Linked DNA regions of Caenorhabditis elegans. The protein of the gene in region 1 interacts with the protein of each later gene in a biochemical or structural test. Each region holds a gene or a part of one and is shown on either strand. Other genes may lie near its edges.

The links.
Region 2: of the proteins of smg-1 (region 1) and smg-2, one has a biochemical effect on the other in vitro, tested with the Caenorhabditis elegans proteins (one study listed by BioGRID).

Annotation. Positions count from the first base shown.
Region 1 is NC_003279.8:6,907,042-6,915,245, reverse strand, and holds the start of smg-1 (Serine/threonine-protein kinase smg-1), read left to right. Parts: upstream 1-1,694; coding exon 1,695-1,739; intron 1,740-1,786; coding exon 1,787-1,873; intron 1,874-1,927; coding exon 1,928-2,073; intron 2,074-2,119; coding exon 2,120-2,396; intron 2,397-2,439; coding exon 2,440-2,706; intron 2,707-2,991; coding exon 2,992-3,216; intron 3,217-3,606; coding exon 3,607-3,719; intron 3,720-3,798; coding exon 3,799-3,908; intron 3,909-3,955; coding exon 3,956-4,086; intron 4,087-4,155; coding exon 4,156-4,286; intron 4,287-4,330; coding exon 4,331-4,486; intron 4,487-4,544; coding exon 4,545-4,688; intron 4,689-5,176; coding exon 5,177-5,329; intron 5,330-6,024; coding exon 6,025-6,159; intron 6,160-6,198; coding exon 6,199-6,407; intron 6,408-6,481; coding exon 6,482-6,705; intron 6,706-6,746; coding exon 6,747-6,854; intron 6,855-6,935; coding exon 6,936-7,165; intron 7,166-7,215; coding exon 7,216-7,303; intron 7,304-7,350; coding exon 7,351-7,460; and 5 more. Other genes in the region: haps-1 (Essential protein Yae1 N-terminal domain-containing protein), read right to left, coding at 1-187.
Region 2 is NC_003279.8:1,173,555-1,181,874, reverse strand, and holds the start of smg-2 (Regulator of nonsense transcripts 1), read right to left. Parts: upstream 5,403-8,320; 5' UTR 5,401-5,402; coding exon 5,254-5,400; intron 3,998-5,253; coding exon 3,456-3,997; intron 2,873-3,455; coding exon 2,484-2,872; intron 1,629-2,483; coding exon 688-1,628; intron 1-687. Other genes in the region: haf-6 (Mitochondrial potassium channel ATP-binding subunit), read left to right, coding at 6,122-6,186, 6,248-6,491, 7,780-8,067. UniProt on the Caenorhabditis elegans protein: RNA-dependent helicase required for nonsense-mediated decay (NMD) of aberrant mRNAs containing premature stop codons and modulates the expression level of normal mRNAs.

The DNA of each region.
Region 1 (8,204 bases):
GCGTGGTTCCCTCTGCAGCGCCTCTGAAATTTCTCCAAGAGGAGTCCGAATAGAGACGAGCCACAGCTTGAGCACATCCTTCAAAGTCATTCCACAGCTTATCGTTTTCCGTCAGATCCTCAGTACAATCACAACGACGGTGGGCACCGCCAGTTCTCGAAGAACAGCTCGAGTGATGATTCGACATATTATGCGAACTGAAAACATTAACATAATTTTTTATTAAAAGAAAGAACTGTCGGAAATCAAGTTCGAGAATATTAGAAAAAAAACGGGGAATTTTAAATGTTATAATTAATGTTTTCAACAAAGATTAGGCAATCGCGTGAGCAAGGTTTCATTCAACAAAACGAATATCGATTAGCTACACAATCTCATCAGTCTTTCAATTGCATGGGAGTTATGCTCCCCGAGCAAGTTCTAAGCGACTAATTTATCGATTTCTGGGTGAACATCAGCATCAGATGACGAAATAATTACAGAATAAAGATAGTTAGATGGAGAGAGTGAGAAAGATTGGAAAACGATTGGGTGCGTCCGGTCAAGAAATTGAGAGGAGAAGTTATCTTAAAGATGAAATGAAAAGATAGAAATGAAGGATTTATTGGTAAATTTGCAAGATTTGAGGTAAAAAATGAGTTATGGAAAATTTAAAACCAATTTTTCAAGGATGAGCAGTTGAAATATGAATGACTCATTACGAATACACTAGAGAAAAAGCTAATCGGGGAAATAAATGGCTGGGAAATTAATAATGTTTAAAAAACAGCTCTTGTAAAACTATTTTGTATTCAGAGTATGAAAGCAGGGCATAAAAGATAACTAAAAACATGAACGATTGGCGTCGAATCATTGCGAAAAACGTGGGTATACAGAGGCCGTTATTCGAGGTTTTCAGAATTATCAATTGAGATTCAATTGCATGTTTTCATAAAAACCGACAGGAATAAGCCATTTCTTCCGATTTTTTTTTCGAAATTTTGCGAAAATCGATGGGGAAACAATGAAAAAAGTGTCTGAAACGGGCAGAAAATGAGGAAAAGAGAGTAAAGAGAGAGAGCGGCCGAAACAAAACATTCGATTAGCAATGGAGCATGTTTGCTGACTCATGTGTCGACAGTTTAAATGCTTTTTGATCATCTGTTTATGAAGTTTTTCAACATTTTTATTGATTTTCAGAACTGGAGATTTTATTGCTATTTTTTAAGAACATAAAATCTAATTTTTTAGTGTGAGAAAGTTCTTTTAAAAGTATTAAAACAAAAGAAAAGCAACACGAGTACTGTATTAAAGGCGCATACCAAAAATCATGAGTCCGGTCTCACGAAGCGTTTGCACCACAATTAAAAGTGCCATTATCGATAGTTATCTTCTCAAATTAAAATTTGTTTCGTCTTTCCGGGTGCAAATCTATTTAAGCTTGAATTTTCATTAAATCACAATGTTTTATTTGCTTAAAACATTTTAACGTGACATTTTCATTTTCAAAGCTAAGTTTCCTTTTTTATTTATTTCTGACACGTGACGATGCTAGTCCGGCCGAGAAAAATGTTTAAAATCCTTAAACGGCCCGACACATTAAGGTATTTTGTTCTCGTTTATTCAATTTTCCCGATATTTGTATTCGTTTCTCAGGCTTTTTTCCTGTTTCAACTTTTATTTTCAGCCTATGCAACCTTCCGTGCGATCAAAAAATGATAACATCGAGAAACAATGATATTGGGAACCTGATAGAACAGGTAAATGTGATAAACGGAGAAAAGTATTTATTGTTAATCAAATTAAGTTTCGTCAACGTGACACGCCACAGAAGGAACGGAAAGCGATTCTCGCTAGAATCGAGGAGATTCTTCAAACTACGAAAAATGTAGAGGTTTGTTTTCCCTTCGGAAGCATTACGGAAAACCAAGAAATTATTATTTTACAGAGTCTTTGTGTAAAATGGACTTATCTTTTGGATAACTTGTGTTGGCCTAGTCTCACAAAACACGATCGGAATGACATGAAAACGCTGGCTGGAAAAGTGATACGACTTGTTGGAGTTTTACTCTTTGATACTGAATCCTATCCAGAGTTTGTGAATTTTGCCATTTGAAGATATAAAATAAAAATTTTTCAGGTTTCTGATTTATCTTGGAACATTATATCAAAGTGTTACGAAGAAAAGTGAAGAAACACGTGCGGATATCGTGTTTTCAGTGTATTTCATCGTTGGAGTCATCAGTCAAAAAACGGAGAATCGTCTAATTGCTACCGACACTGAAAATGTCGAAAAATCATTAGACTGGATAATCAAAGTGCTTCCGAATTCATCAATATCAGTTTATAACCACTGTTTGAAAGGATTTGTACTTGTTGCAAACACATTTCCAAATGTTTATGCTGCAATGTTTGAGGTATTTTATTTGAAAAATAATAAAAAAATTTCGCTTTTTCCAGTCAACCCTCCGAGCAATTCTGACCAACCTTCCCGATTTCAACAGTCATGAAAAGAATTTTGAGCTTCTCATTGATACAGTGATGCGATTTTCTGATCAACTTAATGAGAAGCCTCATTTGGCAGAAGAAATGGTTCGAATTATTCGACCGGATATCAAAAAGAATGGATTGGGAAATATGAGAGAATTGAAGAAACGAATGAAACTGACAATGGCACTCGTGAAAATGGCGAAAAGTCAAAAAATGCTTGAGGAGACTAATCAGATGGTGAGAATATGATGAGGGAACACATTATTTGCTGAAATATCTGAAAATTTCAAAAATAAATTATCTAAAAAAGCTTTAGAAAGGCAAATTCTCAAAAAGTTGAAATATTTATTTTGTTATTTGTGAATAATAAGTTCCAAGGACTTAATTTTGTTCTTTAAAGTGTGATATTGATTTTATTCAATTCATCTTTATTTTAAAATTCAAGTTCGTGGACCAAAAACAGATTTTCCCAACAAAAAGTTAACAAACTGCTTATTATTCTTTTTATTCAATAAATTTCAGATTTCTGAAATGTCTATCGAACTCGAGGAAAACGGAGGAAAATGGTCATCAGCTTCACTTATAACTATCGTTTGTGATGTTTTCAATGAGCTCTTGATATTGGGAAAAGATGATGTAAAATTGCAAAAAGGAGTTGAAGAATCATTGTGCAATGTTCTGAAAGACTTGAATCTTTCTAATCAGAGTACTATGGAGAAACAAGCATTTTTCAATTCTCTTGCAAAGGTTTGGTTTTTTGCCACAAAAATATCCGAAATTAGAGTATTACCCGAAATTTGGCGCTGAAACTAAAACTACGGTACTTGGTCTCGACACGACAACTTTTTGCTAAATGCGAAACGGTGTGCGCCTATTATTACTGTACTTTTAAACCCTTGTTGCTGCGGAATATTGCTATTTTTAAACGTTTTTTTCACGATTTATTAAAATTTATTTGAAAAACTATGATAAAACTTTGATGCACTGAACGAGAATTTGAAACTACTGTAACCTGTAAAGGTGTACATCATTCTGCATTTCCCAAAAATGTTTCGTGTCGAGCGTAGGTGCTGTATTGTTGGCGCAAAATGTTGCGTCTGGGTAATACAAGCTGCTGGTGTATGTAATTGATTTCAGATTGTCAAACAACTTCCAGCAGAGTCACAAGTCAAAACTAGAGTTCATCAGATTGTTTTCAACACGGAAACTGGACTTTTCACACCCAAAAACCGCGATAATCGAATGTTTGGGTGAGAAAAAGTTTTTAAGTCGATGCTCTATCGTATCGGGGAGTACGATGTTTTTCAAAATCAATTTTTATAATTTCAGACATAATATGATATACAAGGATCTTATCAATCTTGTCTCTGTGCTTCTTACGCCTACATCACTCAATCATCTACAAGCGACATATACGGATTTGAGGAAAATAATGATAGGTTAACTTTAATTAAATCTGTGAATTCAATTGATTAATTATTTCCAGATAGCATGTCACGATTGAAGCAAAGTGAAGATACTCCGTATAGTGATAATATTCGATGGAATGAATCAATCCTTTTGCTTTTCTTTTCGTCACTTCAAAGTATATCATGTGCCAAGAGTTCTCTTATTGTGGTTTGTTTAAAAATAACAATTATTTTCGCAGAAAACAACGATTTTTAACAATTAAAGAACAAATTTTAGATGATGGGAATCCGTCCGTCAATTTTTGAATTCTTCTCATCGGAACTTCCACTCACAGAATATTGGCTTGCTTCAAATCATCCAGAAGTCTATCACCTATTTATCACAATATTTGTTGGACATTTGAAAGCGTGAGTATGACAGAATAAATACTTTAATAAATCAATTCTTTCAGTCACGACTTCTACATTGTTCAATCTGATTATATTGTTCGTGGTGATAGCATTGGACAAAGTATAGGACAAACGAAACGAGATTATGCACGGAAACAAGTTGTTGCTCTACAGAAAATTATCAACAATTTTGGAGACAAATTGTGGAAGAAGACTAGGTTTATTCTTGAGCATTCATTATATTTTATTTTCAATTTTTAATAAATTGTGATTCAGACTGATGATATCTTCATGGCTTCACTCTCTCATTGCAACTGCTTGTGAACATCAAATCGGAAGTGATAGTTTCAGTCAACGAGAATGGGTTCGATTAAGGAATACTGTCATTCATCAGTCGGTGCTCACATGGAATAATGAATGGTATACACTTGAATTGCTTGAATTTCTAGCAGTTTTCACATTTTCTCAATCATTTGTACCAAGCAACACTTGCTGGAAAATCAAAAAAAAATCAATTTTTAAAATATCCCGCTACGCGCCCAACATTGAAATATATAATTCCTGGGACTTCTTTTTGGAATTTTAATTAAAAATAATTATATTCCGTATTTTGATAATTTAAAATTCTTTCACTTATTTTTGAGAAGTTTGCATGTTGGATATCAACATACTAAATAGTTTTCTGGGAAGTGGCCAGGTTTTTCGGTTGTAGGAAAGACTTGTATTATATTGTTCATTGAAAACAAGTATATCAATAGTATTCTTTTCTGAATTGGCACTTATAAAAGTGAAATCGAGATGCTGAAAACTAGTTTCTTCTGTCAGTTTCAGTTTAGATTGATTATAGTTCTTTTCTCTCTATTCTCCTCATATTTTCTAAAAATTTGAACTAAGTTATATATTTTCAGTGTAAATCAAGCATTGACCATCCTCTCCACTGCTACAAAATGGTCAGAACTGACGTCAGACATCCATCGAGATATTGCGGATAAAACGAAAAAAGCAAAGTGGAAGGAGGCAACGACAATTTGGGAATCTGGAGATTGTAATACTTATATCAGGTATTGAAAAGAACTCTTTAAAATTATTTCAAGCTTTTCGATTTTATTCCACTATTTGATTCAAAAAAATGTTTGCACTCAATATGTTTCAAAGAGTGTTTATGTATTTATGACTATCGAAAAAAAAAAGAACTGAATGACGGATAATCGGTGTCTACATTCAGGCGGCGGTCACGTATACTCTAAACAATTTTGAATTATTTTTGACATTCTTTGTGAAGTTTTAAACCTGTAATTAGCTAAATCGAAATGATGAAAGACGGAAAACGCAAGATTTTATTTGAAAACTTTGTATAAAACTGGTATCTTTCACCCTCAAATCTGGTTATTTCAGTTTAAAAACTAGAGAGCATTAGCTCATTGAGCTCTGGTTCTTGTTTATTTATTTACTCGAATGAATAAAACAAGCGACTTTTATTGTTTTCATGCCTACTTGCACCTGCGTCTAACTAACTAACTATTAGGCGAGAGTTTCTGCATGAATTACACACTGGAAATTTGCCCAAAACAAACGTCACTCTACTTGACAGTCTATAGCTTGTTTTCATCGCCTGGAGGTGGAGTAGCGTGAATACGGATTTGCTTTAAAATATTTGAAACAGACTGAAATTCATAAGTACCAGACAAAAAACGAAAAAAAAAGTATTTCTTGTTTTTTATACAACTTCGTAAAAGTAAAATGATTTATTTTCCAGGCAATCCATGTCTACAGTCTATCAAATGTCACAGGAACGACAACAGAAGACAATTACATCGACAAGTTTTGGAGCCGAAGAGTTTATAATAATTACGAATTTCTTGTTGAAACAGGCAACACCAACTACTTTCAAGTGAGTTCATAATTAAAACCTTTCTACGTATAAATTGAGTTCCAGAAAAGGTCAAAACTCATGGATGGATGAAGTACTGGAAACATTCACACAAGGATGTCGTACGCTTGAAAAACCCGATTCATACGTTCCAGAGACATTTATCGAAAAATGGGATTGGATTATTAATCAGACTGCAAACTTTTGCATTGTGAATAAAATGAAGACACCATTAGGAAAACCAATGCAGACTTTTGCAGCTTTTGAGAGTAGGTTAACAACTAGATTTCAAATTTTATGAGTAGAAATTAGCTGTAGTTAAATAATTATTCATTAATTGCAGATGAAATTAAACGACTTGCGAAAGAAGTGATTGTTCGAAAGAATAGTGATAAGAAGTTGAATAAATCATCTACAGAAGATCCAAATCAATCTCCACCACTCAAATATTCCGTTCAATGGCTTCGTGTTCATTTACTTCTAAAATTGATTGTAGTTTTGGAAAAACTTATGAACTCAGCCATTCATGGTGGTTCTTCCGTTTTCAATTTGACTGAAATTCCAGTGGTATGCTTAATTTTTTTGTCTAGAAATATCGTATATTTCAGTCCTCTCGCCAATTTTTCACAGTGAACGCAGCAAGTTGTGAGGTTTGGCTGAATCGAGTATACTATCCTGCTCTTCTTGTCGCATATTTCAATGGATATTATGGACTTGTAAATGATCTTAAAATTCTTATATTTTGTTACTGATTTTGTTATAGTTTCAAACGTAAGCCTAAATGTCATAAATTTCAGGTTATTCGATTTGGTTCAAATGCTCTTAGCCATTTCGCGAGACAAAAAGACGGAGATAATGATAAAAAGATCGTGAATGGCGTTTGTACAGCAAGTTTAATGTCACTTTCAATGGCAGTTCTCGGTGAACCAATGGAAATTGTTGGATTACGGAGAAAAGTTCGAGAAGAATTCGGAACTGACATGGGACAATCATTGATGGAGGCACTCGGAGAAATGGCTAATGCTAGGTGAGTGATTATGCAGAAATATATATTTTTATAATTATTATAATATTAAGATATGAGACAGCTCTGGTTGCCTTGGAAGCAGTTCTTGTGACAGATGCAGCAACAAATGAAACATTGAAAATGATCATTCAACTAGCAGTATGTGCTAATCAATACAATCATTTTAATTTTTTTCAAAATTTCAGATGGTTGACATTTTGAACCGCATACGCCTCCCACAGGCTACCGATTATTATAAGGTTGTCTTATTTGGTGAAGAATCAAATGATTCCACAATTACTGAAGACTTTCGATCGTAAGATTTTATGAAATTTCGATTTGTGCTCACAGAGAAATTATAATTGAAATAATAATTATTACATTTTAGAGTTGAGTTACTCACGAAATTCGAGAAGCTCAACAATACAGTGAACGAAAAGCGTCAAGTTGTTGATTGGAGTGCTCGAGAACGTTTCCAATTTGTTGAATCCGCATTTTCACAGACTATGAGAAGGCGAGTGTCTAGGGTGTCGGTTTTCCAATATTTCGAAGAAAAAACATCGATTTTTCGAGAAATAGCTTGAAGTTTTAGCCATATATTTTTTCTCGAAATATTATACGAAAATTACTTACGGATAAACTAACTTTTGCACTCTAAACTTCTATTTTCCATAAAATTTTAAAAATTAAAAAGGATAACTAAATGAGCAACTTTTTCAGAACCGAACTTCTCGACATTCAAAAAGATTTTTCCGCGATGGGAGCACTTGCATTGAGTGCTGATTCATCGTGTAAATTGTATTCGGACATTTCATCAACATCTCTCATAATTGCAAATCTTGTCAATAAAATGACTGGTGTCTCACAATGGAAGAATAAACTCACTGATACGGAAATATTCGATAGAAATGAAGAAGGAAATGATGGTGATAAGTTGGCAATATGTCGAAAGTTAATGCATTGGGGACGACACACAAAGAGTAATCGTACGTTTTTCAATTTATGAGAAGAGAAATTAAGTAAAATCATGTTTGGTTATAATTTTCAAAAAATAAAAATA
Region 2 (8,320 bases), 5.7 Mb from region 1:
GTATTTTTGCTTGAATTTTAGAGAAAAAGTCAAAATAAATGCAAATTTTCGATTAAAAAACGCGATCGCAGGTGTAAAAAATGAAAAAGTAACGCTTTTAAACGATTTCGAACCTGAATTAACTAATCTCACTGATTTACGCCTGTAAGCATGCTTTTTAATCGAAAATTTGCTTTTTTTTTTACTTTTTCTCTAAAATTCAAGCAAAAATACACTGAAAACATTAAAAATCGGTGGAAAATAACAACAAAAAAAATTAATTAATGAAGATAATGCAAGCGCGCTCGATCGAACAAATCCAATTGGCGGTAATTCAAATTGGAATTAGGCAAAAACTGAGATTTTTTCAATTTTTAAAAAATCATATAAAATTTAGAAAAACATTTTAAATTTTTTTATCATGATATTCGGTCATTGTGACCTTATAGGCATGTTTTAAAGCAGTTTCCCCACTGGCGCTACTCCACCTTTAATTACAAAGTAAATTTTGGTTCGATTTTTTTAATCTCGTAGAAAACTTGTAAACTTTCTGAAAATATCTGAACCTTCATAAAATTCAAACAAAATTTTTCAAAAATTAGAGTCCGAGTTGTAGAAAATCGATTTTTTAAAGGTTCAGTGATAATTTTCAGTAAGTTCAATTTAAAATGCCGAATTTCAGTAGTTTTTTCCCGAAAATGACCCAACCTGAAGCCGGAACGGTCGAATACCGAGAAGCACAAGTCTCTCGAACAAAGATTGGCTCAATCCGGCAATCGCCGCCTTTTTACATATAACAACCGGTCCCAGTTGACAGTGATCTCCAACTAAAACCAATTGCCTGACTCCTCTCATAATAGAGACCAAAATCTCGGGCTCTGTCGCCTGTGTGCTCTCATCAATGAGCACAGTTCTCGTACGGATCTTCGACAATCTCGCATCAGCCGCCGATGAGCACGTACAACAGATGACGTCAGCGGCGGCGAGAAGCTCATGCTCTTTGACTCTTTTCAATTGCATATATCTCAAATCATCCTTAAACTCGAGCTCCCCGGCTTCATCTTTCAACTGAATCAGCTTCTGAAGCTCCGCACCGCCCATCACTTTTAGCTGATGTTGAAGCGTCAAGTAGGGTACTGTAGTCTCACTGTGCTCTCGAGATCTCGCACAAAGCCTCACAACCTTCAATCCCGTCTTGTGAATCTTCTCGGCCAAGTGATCGACGGCGATGTTGCTCGGCGAGCACACGAGCACGTTTCCCTCGGTTTTCTGCACCAAATGATAGACGATTGTCGCCGAAACTACGGTTTTTCCAGTTCCCGGAGGTCCTTGAATCAAGCTTAAAGGTCGGGTGAGCACCTGCTTCACTGCCTGCATCTGGGAGCTATTAAGCTCGGGGAGTCCAGCGACAGATAGCCGACGCGGTAGATCAAACTTGAGCATCATTTCCTCGGCTGGATGACCCAGAAGCTTCTGGTAGAGATATGGAGATATTGCTTTGGAGTCGTTGAGCAGCGCCGCAAGAGCCTTGTACTGTCGCTCGAAGGTGGTGGCGTTCCAGACGACGTCGACGGTGAACATAATCCGACTCTCCATCACTGATTTGTCGACAGCTCCGCGGATTTCGATGCCTACCTCGTCGCCGTGGTCTGCAAATTTGTAAACGTGAAATTTTTTGGAGCTTTTTGTGCAATTTTTCTTGAAATTCACAGAAAAACCACTCGAAAATGGCCAGAAACGATGGAATTTGTGATTTTTTTGTTGTAAATTTGCAATTTTCAGATGATTTTTGAGCTCTTTGCCCAATTTTTCGTGCTAATTTCAAGAAAAATCGATCCAAAAGCGGGAAAAAAAATTTTTCCGAAGAATTTAAAGTTAAAAAAGCTCAAAAAAAAATTGATTTTGGTCATTTTCGAGTAGTTTTTCTTGTAATTTTCAAGAAAAAACCGACCGAAATTTTTTTTTTTGCAGATTTTTGGTGATGTAAATTGTACTTTCCCATAATTTCAACGATTTTCCAGAAGCTCAAAAGGTTAGAAATTTAGTTTATACTATTACGGGAACACAAAATTCTGAAAATGCGTATTACACAACATATTTGACGCGCAAAATATCTCGTAGCGAAAACTACAGTAATTCTTTAAATGACTACTGTAGCGTCGATTTACGGGCTCGATTTTCACTTTTTCGTTCGTGTGAAAATGAAAATCAAGCGCGTCGTAAATCGACCTACAGTAGTCATTTAAAGAATTACTGTAGTTTTCGCTACGAGATATTTTGCGCGTCAAATATGTTGTGTAATACGCATTTTCAGAATTTTGTGTTCCCGTAATAGTATAAACTAAATATCTAACCTTTTCAGCTTCTGGAAAATCGTTGAAATTACTGGAAAATACAATTTATATCAGGAAAAATCTCCAAAAAAAAAATTTTGGACAGTTATTTCTTGAAAATTCCAAGAAAAACTACTCAAAATTTTTATTTTTATTTTTCCCATCCCTTACTATCAGGAATCTTGAAAACACTTCCAATCTTGGTCCATTCCGATCCATCAACCGTCTGAGAATGTTTCAATCGAAGTTCATCGCCTTTCGCAAGCTTCATGACACCATCAGCAAATTGTGGAAGATGAAAGAACGCGAGAACCGATTGACGAAGTCCTTGTTCCCATCTAACAGTTCCGACTGCTTGTGATGCTGATTCTTTAACTCTTCGATCATATTCTGCTTCAATTGCAACTAATGGACGGAACACTTTCGAATAGTGATGAGCATCCACATATCTTAATTGAACATGATCCGGTTCTCGATCGAGTCCCGGTTTATTTAAATCGTCAACGGTTGCTTCTGGGTGATCACGCCAGAGCTCTTCCATTCGGACTGCTTGGGTAGCACTGGAAAATTTAGTTTTTCATATATATATATATATATATATAGCTATTTAAAAGTACTATACCACTTGTGTTTTTCCGGCTTTTTGCACCAATGCCGGTAGAAATTGAGAATTTTTTGCACGAAAATTCGAAAAAAAATTCAATTTTCAATTTCTTTTGGAAACTGGGAATAGATTTTTTATCAACAAAAAAATCGAAGCTATAGAAATATTAAAGGTGGTGTAGTCGAATTTTTTAAAATTGCTTTATTCAACTCAGAAAACACCGAATTTCATAGTGAAACTTCTCAAAAAACAAGTTATGACGGTTCAAAAAATGGCCTAAAATTAGTTAAAATTTGAAATTTGACCGACTTGTAAAGCGGCTGGAAACTATTTTTTTTTTGTAACCACCGTCAAATTTTGAGTATACAATTTAATTATCTTGCGTTTTCAACTCGATTTAGGTATTTTAAAGTCGATGGACGGCGAGATTTAGTTAAAAATTGTTAAAATTCGATCGCTCGGAAATTGCATTTTTGGTTGGAAATTCCTTTAATTATTATTTTAAAATTTTTCTCAAAAATCGATTTTCCTCCACTAACGTGATTTTCCTAGCTCTGGCCACCTGCTCCTCGCTGGGCACATTAACAATCCACGATAGCAGCTGTTTTTCAGCGATTACAGATTTCCAGTCCTCGGGCGACCAATTATCATCATTCTGGAATGCAATACTGGCGCACGGTGTTCTACAGATTATCACGACGACTTGATCCTTTTTTCCGGGGATGAAGCCGAGATTAAACACGTTTTTCGAACCACAACGATAGCATTCCAATTGAGTGTCACCACACGGTGAATCCTTATGCGTGTAGGCTTCCTTATGCTGACTCCGAACCATATGATGAACAATATGCCCGCCCGACGTTCCATCATTGGAATTACAGAACCATTTCCTGCAGACTGTGCATTTGGCGACACACAGAGGATCAGAGATTCCACAATAGCGACACGCGTGCTCCGGCAGCTTCTGCTGCTGCTGCTCTTCTGTCAGTGATTTTTCACTGTCCGACTCGTCGTCTTCCACGTCGTGAAATGGCAAATCGTTGGTGGTTCCATCGGTTCCTCCTGGCAGCAGATCTGTCGCCTGGAATATGGGTTTTTTTTTGTTGAGAATTTTGAAAAATTGACAAAAAAAATTGATTTTAAGGGACTTTTCTATGATTTTCTTGGTTTTTTTCCACTGAAATTTCCACTTTCAGAGGATTTTGAATAAAAATTTATTTAAAATTAAGATCTGTCGCCTGGAATAGGTGTTTTTTTTTGAGAGTCGAATTTTTAAAATTGCTTTGGAATTTTCTTGGAATTTTTTGTACGCTTTTGGGTCGATTTTCTTGAAATTAGCACGAAAAATTGTGGGCAAAGTGCTCAAAAATCATCTGAAAATTGCGATAAACAAAAATATTGGAAAAAAAAATCACAATTTCCAAGATTCCTGACAGTAAGGAATGAGAAAAATTCTTTTTAAAACAAGTTTTTGGTGATATAAATTATCTTTTCCAGAGCAAGCTCAACGTTAAGAAAGGTTAGAAAATTAGATTATACTATTACGGGAACACAAAATTCTAAGAATGCGTATTACACAACATATTTGACGCGCAAAATATCTCGTAGCGAAAACTACAGTAATTCTTTAAATGACTACTGTAGTGTCGATTTACGGAATCTCGATTTTGGCGAAGGAAAAATGAAAATCGAGCCCGTAAATCGACCTACAGTAGTCATTTAAAGAATTACTGTAGTTTTCGCTACGAGATATTTTGCGCGTCAAATATGTTGTGCAATACGCATTCTCAGAATTTTGTGTTCCCGTAATAGTATAATCTAATTTTCTAACCTTTTTTAACGTTGAGCTTCTAGAAAATCGTTGATATTGTTGGAAAAGATAATTTATATCACAAAACATCTCCAAAAAAAATTGGACGGTTTGTTTTCTTGAAAATTACAAGAAAAACTAATCGAAAATGGCCAAATTCAAAAAATTTTGCAATTTTTGCACAAAAATCTAATTTTTTCGAGCTTTTGGATCGATTTTTCTTGAAATTTGCACGAAAAATTGATTGGGCAAAGTGGGCAAAAAAGCATCTGAAAATTGCAAATTGACGGGATTATACTCATTTTCGAACAAAAATTGAAAATAAAAATCACAAATTCCATCGGTTTTGTCCATTTTCGAGTGGTTTTTTTTTCATGATTTTCATCGTTTTTTTCAGTGTGTAAAGTCTATCAATTCAAAGGATTTTGAATACAAATTTCTCTGAAAAATCATGTGAAAAACTTGATTTTTCAGCAAAATCCAGAATTTTCCTTCGATTTTTTGACACAAATGCGGCAATTTTCTACCTGAGAACTCTGCGTAGGCACACTAAACTGCTCATAGGCGAACTGAGAGTCCTGCGTGTTCCCAATAGAGACTCCATCGTCCTCGGGATCCACAAATGTGAGGGTTTCCCCGTGGCTTCTCGAATATTCGTCGTCCGAATCGTCCATTACTGGAAGAAAAGTGCGTTTTTGAGGGGTTTTGGAATGAGAAATCGATAGCATTCATGAGAAATTTGTCGGTATTCGAGTAAAATAGGTGAAAAAAGTACAAAAAAGCATTTTTCAAATTGCAAAATCTAACAATGAGCAATATTTCGTAATTTTTTACCACTTTTACACTTATTTTTGCAGATTTTTCATGTAAAAATTCAACATTTTTGCCGAAAATTGGCGGAAAACCTTCGAAAATGAGAACTGTGTTAATTTAATCACAAAGCGGGTGCATTTTTGGAAATTTCAACAATTAAAATTGAAAATTTTCAATTTCCGCTCACTTTTTATCGGAAAAAGGTAAAAATGCCTAAAATTTGAGCTCAAATTTGAAAAACAAACTGAAAAATCCCCCCAACTTTTAAAATGAGCAATATTTCATCATTTTAGATGATTTTAAGCGAAAATTGTGTGATTTTTAACAATTTAACCATGAAAATGCATATTTTTTCAACATTTTCATACAAAAAATGAGGTTTTGTTAGAAAAAATTGCGAAAAACGGTCGAAAAATGAAAAAATATGATAAAAACACCTCATTGCAAGGTGGGCGCACGGTTTTTGCAAGTGTGCCGCACGGAGTTTATGTTTTCTCGATTATTATTTTTCTTGGAAAATCGGAAAAAATCGCTGATAAGAACTGATTTTTATTGATTTGTATTGATTTTTCCTGGTTTTTAATGTCAATTCTATCTAAACTATCCCAAATATCCATCAAAAGCGCCGTGCAAAGCAGCAAACACTGGTAAGATCTGCAAAAATCTGCTGATTTTCCATTTTTCCATATATTTTCCCGTTTTTTGCAGCTTTTCCAGCTATCCATGGCTTCACAAACCGATTTCAAGGACAACAATACTCAAAACATGGCGAATTTGTGGGTTTGGAGCCGGTTTAGGAGCTGTAACCCTACGAAAAGCGGCATGTGCTCCGAAATTGAGCAAACGCATCGACCATTTGAGGACGACGGAGGATCAGAATGCGTCAATGACGGCCGGAGAGCTGTGGAATTTGATTAAACCCTTTTTCGGCTGGTTTTTCGCTGCAGTTGTGGTGAATTTTTCGATAAAAATCCGGTTGAAAACTGGGAAAAATCGAGAAAAATACGTATTTTTATAGTTAACTTACAAAAAATTGTGCAATTTTCACCTAAAATCTTGCTTTTTAATTTTATTTCAGGTTTCCTGTCAATTTTCCAGCAAAAAAACTTTAATTTCCGCATTAATTCGTATGAAATCAATGAAATTTCATAGTTAAATTGGAAAATGGCAACATTTTTGCTTAAAATTTGTAAAAAATCATGTTTTTTGGGCATTTTTGGTGATTTTCTTTCGATTTTTATGATTTTTCGGCGGTTTTTACCCAATTTCATTAGAAAAAATTGAAAAAATCTCAGTTTTCCCCTAATTCCTATTTGAATTTCCGCCAATTGAACTTGTTCGGTGGAGCGCGCTTGCATTATTTTTTTTATCATTATTTCATTGATTTTCTTCATTTTTAGGGGTTTTTGATCGGAATATGAACGAAATAAACAAGAAAAATGCAAAATGTTTATGAAAAAGTGACTAAAAATACCTAAAACTCCATGAATAATACAAATTTCAGGCTCGTCGTCCTCAGAACTCAAAAAATCACAGTTTTACGCATTTTCAGTTACTTTTTAACAAACATTTTGTATTTTTCTTGCTTTTTCAGTTCTTTTTTCCGATAAAAATGCACAAATAATGAAGAAAATCAGTGAAATAATAAAAAATAATTTTAAAAAATTAATGAAAATAATGCAAGTGCGCTCCAACGAACGAATCCAATTGGCGGAAATTCAATTAGGAATTAGGCAAAAACTGAGATTTTTTCAATTTTTTCTAATGAAATTGGGTGAAAACCGCCGAAATATCATAAAAATCGAAAGAAAATCACCAAAAATGCCCAAAAAACATGATTTTTTACAAATTTTAAGCAAAAATGTTGCCATTTTCCAATTTAACTATGAAATTTCATTGATTTCATACGAATTAATGATATTCGGTCATTATGGCCTCATAGGCATGTTTTAAAGCAATTTTCCCACAGAGTGGAGTCCACATTTAAAGAAAAAATTGGCTAAAAGTCGGTTTTGTCCGGATAAATTACAAAAAATTACAAAATTTTTGTTTTAAATCTCGGAATTTGAAGTTTTTCAGTTATTTTGGGGGGCTAAAAATTTTAATTTCTACATTAAATTGTACGAAAATCTTGTAATTTTTTCGGAATTTCACCAGAAAAAATTTTAAAAACAAAAAAATTTTAATTTTAGTCAATTTTTCCTTAAAAAATTGAGAAAAATTATCAGTTTTTTTTGCAGTGCGCCATCCTCTCAGCCTACATCAACATTCAAATTCCACTATGCCTGGGCGATTTGGTGAACGGAATCGTGAAAATCATCAAGGACGAGTCGAACAATTTACGATCTCATTTTGAACAGCTCAAGCCATCTGCTCTGCACTTAATGACACTATATGTTGCACAATCTGCTCTCACATTTCTTTATATCACATTTTTAACGGTTCTCGGAGAACGAATGGCGACGAAAATGCGGTCGGACTTGTTTCAGAAGCTATTGCACCATGATATGGCATTTTTTGATTCTCATGTAAGAGCGTGGGTGGCCGCGGTGAAATTTTGGTGGCCTAGTTTTTTAAATTCCGATTTTTTCGGTTTTTTTCAGTAAAAAAAATCTTTTTGAAAACTCGACATTTTTAATTTTTTGCAATTTAAAGATGGATTGACTCCAAAATTTCCCCTGATCCCCGAAAAAAAAATTGTCCCAAAAAATTTTTTTTTTTCAAATATTTGTTTTAGTTTTTGATTAATTTTCAGTATTTTTCTGCTTTAACTTTTTGAAA